Linked DNA regions of Arabidopsis thaliana. The protein of the gene in region 2 interacts with the protein of the main gene of each other region in a pairwise test. Each region holds a gene or a part of one and is shown on either strand. Other genes may lie near its edges.

Region 1 (3,988 bases), 4.3 Mb from region 2:
CAGCTAACTCATCAGCCAATAAAGGGAAGAAAACGAGGTGGTGGGATTCGGTTTGGTGAAATGGAGCGAGACTCACTACTTGCTCATGGAGCCTCCTATCTATTACACGACAGGCTTCATACATCTTCAGATCACCACATTGCAGATGTGTGTTCGCTATGTGGAAGCTTGCTCACATCATCTGTTGTGAACGTTCAACAGAAGAAGCTTATTCAAGAAATTGGAAAGTTACCTCCTGGTAGAACTCCAAAGAAGGTAACTTGCTATTCTTGCAAGACAAGTAAAGGCATGGAAACAGTTGCAATGCCCTATGTGTTCAGGTACTTGGCTGCAGAGTTGGCTTCAATGAATATTAAGATGACTCTTCAGTTAAGCGATAGAGAAGGAGTAACTGATTAAGATTTTACACCAGAGGAAGAAAAAAATAACCAGATCTTTACAATGTACTAGTGTGTAGAAGAATATATTATTCATCAGTTTTTGGTTTTGCTTTGTTAGTATATTTTCTAGTGGAAAACGTCATCTATTTTTGGTCAAAGTGAATTTTTAAACAAATGTGTTTGATTTGTACGGATAAAATCAATGAATTTTTGATTCTCCAATACCATTAACTTAACTTTGACATGTATAAGTTGTTCAATTGTGGTAATAAACTCTGCAATTGAGTGATCCGAAGGACATAAAACGAATCCAATTTGGTAATTGCCAGATAATTTGAGAGAAAAACGAGTTATTTGATTAATGAAAAAAATACAAAGTCTTGCAAATTTTACATCTAAACAAGCTCTCTTTCTCCTCTCACACTCACGAAGCAAAGACTGAAGCAAAATACAGATAAAACTTGGCTCACTTTCCGGGAACAAAGTTGGTGGCGAAGGCCCATGCGTTGTTGTTAACTGGATCGGCCAAATGGTCAGCAAGGTTCTCTATCGGTCCCTTACCAGTGACGATGGCTTGAACGAAGAATCCAAACATAGAGAACATAGCCAATCTTCCGTTCTTGAGCTCCTTCACCTTCAACTCAGCGAATGCCTCTGGGTCGGTAGCCAAACCCAATGGGTCGAAGCTGCCACCGGGGTAAAGCAAGTCCTCGGCCTCTCCCAATGGCCCATTTCCTGCGACTCTGTAGCCTTCAACGGCTCCCATCAAAATAACTTGTGTGGCCCAAATGGCCAAAATGCTCTGAGCGTGAACCAAGCTAGGGTTTCCCAAGTAATCGAGCCCTCCATCGCTGAAGATCTGTGAACCGGCCTTGAACCAAACCGCCTCTCCGAACTTGACTCCGTTTCTAGCCAAAAGCTCAGGGAAGACGCAGCCTAGGGCTCCGAGCATGGCCCACCTGCTGTGGATAACTTCTAGTTCACGGTTCCTTGCGAATGTCTCGGGGTCAGCTGAAAGTCCGGCGGTGTCCCATCCGTAGTCTCCGGGGAACTCTCCGGTAAGGTAGCTCGGTGATTCGCCAGAGAATGGACCCAAGTACTTGACACGGTCAGATCCGTACCATGGGCTGCCTGATGGGCCCTTTGGCTTGGCAACAGTCTTCCTCATTGTCACACGGCCGCTTCCAAGGACTTCAGATGCCGCGGGGGAAAGCTTGACGGCCTTACCGGCGAAGGCAGGGGAGGAGAGAGCCATTGTTGAGGCGGCCATTGAGGTTGAGTAGTGCAGCACAAAGTAAAACGTTTAAGATTTGTTGTTGTAAGCCAAGAAATGGGTGGTTTGGTATTGATGCGATTTTCGCTATATATAATACAGAAATCTAAATACTGTCTTATCTTGAAATATCAATCTCTGAGGTTGCTATTGGCTAGTCATAGATTTTTTTTGGGGTTTAGATTGTTTGTTTGCTTACGTGGTTAATGGCTCGCACTTCGCAGATTCGCAATTGATATGTGTTTTAGATATCTAGGTGCGTTTCATGGATTGGCGAAACACCCACTCATGACGTGACACGTATACGAATAGATCTCTCTATCCTTATGAAATCCTGAGAGCATCAATGTAAACCAAAACAAAAAAAATTTGGATAATTGCCTTGTATAATACATTTTATTAAACCTTTTGTATATATGCTTCTTTTTTTTTTCTTCTTCTGATAATAATAATAACTCTTGGCTAGAGATAAAACATAAGAACAAAGTAGATAAAACTATAAAATTTATGTATGGAAATAAGATTATCTAAAACTACGGAATTGAATCAAACTTTACCACAGAAACATAAGAAATTATTACCATCTTAATTAGCACCTGTATTGACCATAATATTTTATTAGAAGAAGAAGAAAACATTGGAATCCACCAGATCAAGGTGATGGTCAGGGTCATAAGACAGCTCCATAATCACGAGTCATGGTCATAGACTCATAGCCACAAGTCTGCTTCTCCCTTACCAATACCAACGGCTTCAACAACGGCCACAACTAATAAGCCAATTCCAACGGCCACCATATAACTGAACCGGATATTCACCAAACCCATTTCAACCGGAAATTGATCCACAAGTAATTAAAAATGTTCTGACCAAATGTGGAATAGGTGGGAAAATGTTGAAGTAAAGGCCAATTCTATAATGTGAGAGGAAAACTCTTTTTTGAGCTTCAGGAATATTTTCTTAGACCTGACCTTGAATCTATATTTTGTAGTTCTTCAATGATTTGATTTCTCTATTCATTTCCTTATAAATTAAATTACTTGTGAAATGAATTTCTGTTTAGAAAAACCTTGAACTTCCTAGTTGACCAAAGGATTAGAAAATCTTTCTAAGTGGAGTGTCTCCTAATAATGGATCAAAAGTGTTTGGAGCAAAAAAGAACGCATAGTGTATTAGTGTTAACAGCTTTTATAGTTCAAAGTTTAGAATGTGCTCTAAAGCATATGTGTGAGCCTGTGAGGTCTAGTGATTGTAAAAAAGAAAAATTGTGCTTCGTGGAAAGTGATGCAATAAACAACACTTCTAGGGCTGAGTAAAACCAACTAGACATGTAATGATAGCTTAAACCGTTTTCTATAGGAGTGTGATTGAGGAGTAATTTGTTGATGAATTCGGAAAAAGCGAATAAATAAGTTTGTTCAAAAGGTTGTTGAAGTTTACAATAAAGATAACTTGAATCATGATAAGAAAAAAAGTAGCTATATGTTCTCTAAAGTCTAAACCCATGATGATGAACATGCCATATGAATTAATATAGTTCTTTCATGTTCTTAGAAATGGTCGATAAGTTAAAACAGTGTTTCATTAATCGTTGTGTTTCTTCGATAAAGAGTAAAACGTCAAAGTTTTAAGGTGATATCACATAATTCATGAGATTATTTTGGTTATTGGATAAAGTGACGATGAAATCGATTCATAATTGAAATTAAACTGGTAGTGATGATGAACTAATTACCATTGAAAATATTGATATTTATGTGTGGGTAAATGCTTTTTATAATGTTACTTTATATTAATGTTTCGATCATCAGAATCTATATTTTCAAAATGTTATACTTTAAGTTTTAGTTATTGGGTTGTAGCAAAAATCATTCTTGTCACGAGGGTGTAAGTAAGTGTAACCGTTGAAGTATTCAGTGGCTCATAACTTGTGGTCACAAAACGCTTGGCTGCAATGAAAAAATCAAAACAAATGCTGGTGGACTAGAGATTGCCACGTAAGACTACTAAACGATAAAACAAAAATCTTAAAATCCAATGAATGAACAGATAAAGATTACTTCAGATATAACAAACGTTACAATATCCCTATATAATCCAACACTATCGAACCAGTTTTAATCACTCTCACTCACAAGTTAGTCATAAAAAAAAAAAAAACACAAAAAAGTTTCAATGGCCGCCTCAACAATGGCTCTCTCCTCCCCTGCTTTCGCCGGAAAGGCTGTGAACCTTTCCCCTGCGGCATCAGAAGTCCTTGGAAGCGGCCGTGTGACAATGAGGAAGACTGTTGCCAAGCCAAAGGGTCCATCAGGCAGCCCATGGTACGGATCCG
Region 2 (4,885 bases):
ACAAAAATGTGTAAGCCCATCATTTAAAAACTTGATTTTTAATGGAGATTTACCCAGAACGATTAACGGAAACTAAAATCGAGAAGGAAATGGAGAACATTAAGAAAACAAGTCGGAGAAAATTACTCGTTTCCCGGCGTATTTCTGGATGTGAATGGGAAGGATATAAGGTTTCATGAATCTGAGAAGGTCCTTGATGCCCATTTCCGATTTCTTATCTTCTTCTTTTTAGGGTTCTTGCGAATTTGTCTTCTTTATTTTTCTTTTTATAGCCTTTTTTGTTTTGTTTTTCCAGTCTAGAGTAAAAAAGCATAAGTAAAAAAAAAAACTTAGCGCGAAAAGGCAATGGCGGGAGTGATTAAAATACGACAGATGCCACATCAGCAGTAATAGCGGCTGTTCGACTTTACCAGTCTATGTGGCGAAATTTCGTTGGTCGAAGGAAGCAGCAGTAATAGCGGCAGTTCATGTCCATTTCCAAAGATAGTATGTTCATGTCTATAACCTTCTTAGTTCGTTGCAAATCAGTAGTTTATTACATGTTAAAAATCATTTGGTTCATCTGTCATATTGGATAAAGTTACAAATTTTAGAGAATTCCGCTATTCCACCATTTCGCTATATTATTAATGGGAATCATTTGCCACAAAATGGGAGAAGTAACTCTAAAAACCAAGATCTCGAACGATAAGATAAAGAAGCAAAAACCTAGATTGACAAGAAAACAAACATCCTTCCAAAAACCTCAAGGTACTTCATGAGTTGTCGATAAAAACATAAGTGATAGATAAAACCAACAAGCAGATAGCAGAGAGCAACGACAGCACAAGTGATGAGATTACTAGTAACGACCAATACCCCAAACTCTAATGACTCCATCGGTGTAACCACTGAAGAGGGTGCTTCCATCAGCGCTCCAGTTAAGGCTTGTGCAGTAAATAACCTGACCCAATCAACAAACAAATTGAATTCAGTCACTTTCCATGGTTATTTACATGTACTATTACACAACAAACAAAGGGCTATGTATCAGGAGAAAAATATTACTACTACTATGATCCTAACAAGAAATGTCAGGTAATCAATGAGTATGGACACACAAAACCATTAAAAGACAACCTTAATTGACAATTTAGGCTCAAACTGGGGCGAAAACACAATTATGGTAATTGCTATATATGGAAGATTAAAACAGATAAAGAAGATAGAGAGCCTAAGTCTCCAAACGGAATGGTAATTCAAGCAAACATAATTGCAGAATCTGAAACTGAAACCAAGTGTAGAAGACCATTTACATATATCATCGTGTAGCATTTGAATAGAATAATCCATGTAAGAAACTTTTTACGAACTTTCACATTTTCAATAACAGACCAACATTACGAATTATGATATACTCAGCTATGGGTAATACTTAATCACAAGTCATAATCAACATCATAACCAACTACAGAAAATTCTTCCTATACAAAAGCTGAAAACTTGTAATCGATTAAAAGCATATGATTGAACCATCATGGGAAAATATTTGTGTACCTTCCTCTTGGTGGCAGCAGGACCACTGTTGTCAGCCTTTTCAGCCTCAGCCTTGAGATCAACCTTCAAATCCTCAACAATGCTCTTGCTCTCAAGGTCCCAAATCTTAATACCATGTTCAGTTGCAGCACAGAGCCAGTACCTGTTGGGACTGAAGCAAAGAGCATGGATCACAGAGTTAGCTTCAAGAGAGTAAAGCTTCTTCCCCTCAGCCAAATCCCACAGCAAAACAACACCGTCTTTGCCTCCACTTGCACAAAGAGAACCATCAGGTGATACAGCCACAGTGCTCACGTAACCGGTGTGACCAGCAAGAGTCGATCTGAGCTTGCAGTTCGAAAGGTTCCACACTTTCACGGTCTTGTCCCACGAAGCAGATACAATCGTCGGCTGAAGCGTGTTAGGGCTGAATCTGACGCAGCTAACCCAATCACGGTGTCCCTCACCACCTTCTGAAATGGTGTACTTGCACTCACCAAGAGTGTTCCACAGCTTGATCGTACGGTCACGAGATGCAGAGACGATCTGACGGTTGTCGAGTGAGAAGGCGACGGAGAGCACGTCCTTGGTGTGTCCAACGAATCTACGAGTGGAGACACCAGCAGCAAGATCCCAAAGACGGAGCTCGCCGTCCCAGCTGCCGGAAAGCGCGAATTGTCCATCGGAGGAGAGAACAACATCCTCAACGAAGTGAGAGTGACCAGTGAGACGCCTCTGAGCTACACCGTAGGCTTTGTCGTCCTTGGTGAGTTTCCACAAAATGATGGATTTGTCGCGGGAAGCTGAGACGATGATGTCTGCGTTATCGATTGGGGTGGCGATTGCCGTCACCATGTCAGTGTGTGCACGCATGGTGCCCTTCAAAACGAGTCCTTCCGCCATTTTCGGTGTCTGGAGATGCCTCTGAAACTAGGGTTTTCGTTTTCTCGGGGGAGGCGGAAATACAAAGAAGAAGGGCGTGAAAAACACAAGAAGCTATTTATATGATAGAAACTAAAAATGGATTAGGGTTCATTTAATATGGGCTCATATTATATATTTATTACTGGGTCTTATGTTAATGGGCTTATCTCAGCCCATATTTGGTGGAAGCGTTCGTAATTTGTTTCCATGTGTAAGAAAGCGTGTTCTCCAATTGGTATGTTCTAAAAGCCAAAAACGCATCCCACTACAGACCTTATTATATGGGCTATGAGTTGTTTAGTTCGGATTTGGAGAGACTGTTTTTGAGAATGATTTCTCGTGTTTTGGTGGATGCTATAAGGAATCCTGTTTTATGGCCAAGACTTGAATCTACGTTCGTGACATAATGGGCACGCTAATTCGAACAAAAGCGTCCCTATTTTTATCGTCATTCAGCGTTTTCATTTTCTGAGTTTGCTTTGATTCGAACAAACAATATATACGTGGAATGAATCATGAATGGCGCACAAATATACAACTTTACATTTATCTTACGTACATGTATATACTCATTTATCGTGGTCATTATTTTTGTATAGGTCAAATTTCTAACAACTCTTTTGTGAAAAAAGCAAAATTTCTTATATGTGGTACAGAGATTGACTAATTCGAGATTACATCAAATATAGTTATCAATCTGGATTGGTTAGATGTAATGTAGTACGTACATCTGCCGAAATAGTATAACATCGTATTGAAATAGCAGAAAATCTTATATAATTGCTGTTTTGGATGTAAATATTATGGATTATAGGAAAGCAATAAAACTTGCTAAAGGGAGAGAAATCTACAAAAAAAACCAGTTTGACTTATATATATACCGTTGTTTTACACTTTAAAAACATTTCCAGCTGTATTCAAAAATATAGTTTTGCAATCTGGATGCATCAAATAAGCCAATCCGAATTTAATAAGTTTGTTCAACAATGATAATTTTCTTCGGCTAAACTTATTTAAAAAGTTCAAACTAGATCTGTTGAGTATTAAATTTATTCGAACAGTGTGAGAGAGATATAGAGGAATACTGTAAATTAATTGATTCACTTAAATAAAAGCGGATCATATCTTTATACAATGGTGGATATGAATTGAAAAGTATTAACACGGTATATACTTGTAGACACTTAAACGACTTTATTGAGTCGAAAAAGTAATTTAGAGAAGTATAAACTCTAAATGTCTTCAAACATTAGAATTAACAATGATACATAACTGAAAAGTACGAAACTAATGGAAATACAAAGTACAAACCATAAAAATTGCATATATGTCACAAGAAAATAAAATAAAAAATCCTACTCAAGATCCATCATCCATGTTTATACACCTGCAACAGACAACACAAAAAATGAAAAGTCATTCTTAAAAGAACTAAAGATAGAGAGAGAGAGAGATAGGGATGGAGAGATGAAGAGCTCCCTTCAATCCAAAGAAGAGTGAAGCCATTAAAGGGGTAAGTGAAAGCTCCTGAGATATGGCATCCATAAAAAAAACCTTATCATCAATTATATTGAATTTGATAAGGCTTATGGGATCCATAGCTTAGCAGCTTTACTTCACCCTGCTAAACCCTCCATTGAACTTCAAGGAGCTCTTCCTCTTCTTCTTCCTTTGTTTTTCTATATAATCGTGTGGATCTGCTTTGACTAACTCATATATTCATACAATCAAAAAACTCTTGACCTTCTTTTAATTGGCAGTTACATGCATCTAACCTAAACCTATGCTTTAAAATATGAACAGCATTAGAGATCCAAGCAAGAAAAAGAGAGACATAATGTTGAATACTTGAGTTAATACAAAACCATTGAAAACTTATATATGGTTCGAAACAGGAGACAATTTGACTCAGAAAGAACCAATGGAAGGATAAAACTTGAAATGAAAAAGCTACTAGTATTAACCATAATATATATAGTGAAAAATCAAAATTATCAGATCTATTATGAAAGATAAAACATAGAAAAGAAGAATCCTGAAAAGAAAAAAAGGGAGGAGGAGAACAAAAGTGAAAAACCATTGAAACTTGAATGGCTTTTTAAAGACAAAAATCTGTAGCCCTAATGAGAAAGAAAGAGGGAGTCAAAGATGGTATTCATTTCGAGGACTTTTCTTAAACCCATTAATAGTTAGGATTATTGATTCATTTCACAGATTTTTTTACTTTTGTGATTTAATAGCTATTGATTCATTTCACAGATTTTTTGTTGTGATATTTAATGAAAAGCTATTAAATCACATATTTACAGCAATTGTCACTTCATATATATGATTTCATAAACCACTTATTTACTAGCAATTGTCACTTTCATTACTACTCAAGAACTTACTTTTTTCTAGTTATTTTTCTAATTCACTCTTTTTAGTCTGTTAATTTAATTAATTT

What was found. Proteins that work in one complex are often made in the same cells at the same time.
Region 1: the proteins of ATARCA (region 2) and CAB1 interact in a two-hybrid assay, tested with the Arabidopsis thaliana proteins (2 studies listed by BioGRID, with this or other methods).

Annotation. Positions count from the first base shown.
Region 1 is NC_003070.9:10,475,733-10,479,720, reverse strand, and holds CAB1 (chlorophyll A/B binding protein 1), read right to left. Parts: upstream 1,837-3,988; 5' UTR 1,651-1,836; coding exon 847-1,650; 3' UTR 607-846; downstream 1-606. Other genes in the region: NRPA2 (nuclear RNA polymerase A2), read left to right, coding at 1-399; CAB2 (chlorophyll A/B-binding protein 2), read left to right, coding at 3,829-3,988. UniProt on the Arabidopsis thaliana protein: The light-harvesting complex (LHC) functions as a light receptor, it captures and delivers excitation energy to photosystems with which it is closely associated.
Region 2 is NC_003070.9:6,219,858-6,224,742, reverse strand, and holds ATARCA (Transducin/WD40 repeat-like superfamily protein), read right to left. Parts: upstream 2,543-4,885; 5' UTR 2,419-2,542; coding exon 1,537-2,418; intron 944-1,536; coding exon 842-943; 3' UTR 501-841; downstream 1-500. Other genes in the region: AT1G18090 (5'-3' exonuclease family protein), read right to left, coding at 127-204. UniProt on the Arabidopsis thaliana protein: Major component of the RACK1 regulatory proteins that play a role in multiple signal transduction pathways. Involved in multiple hormone responses and developmental processes.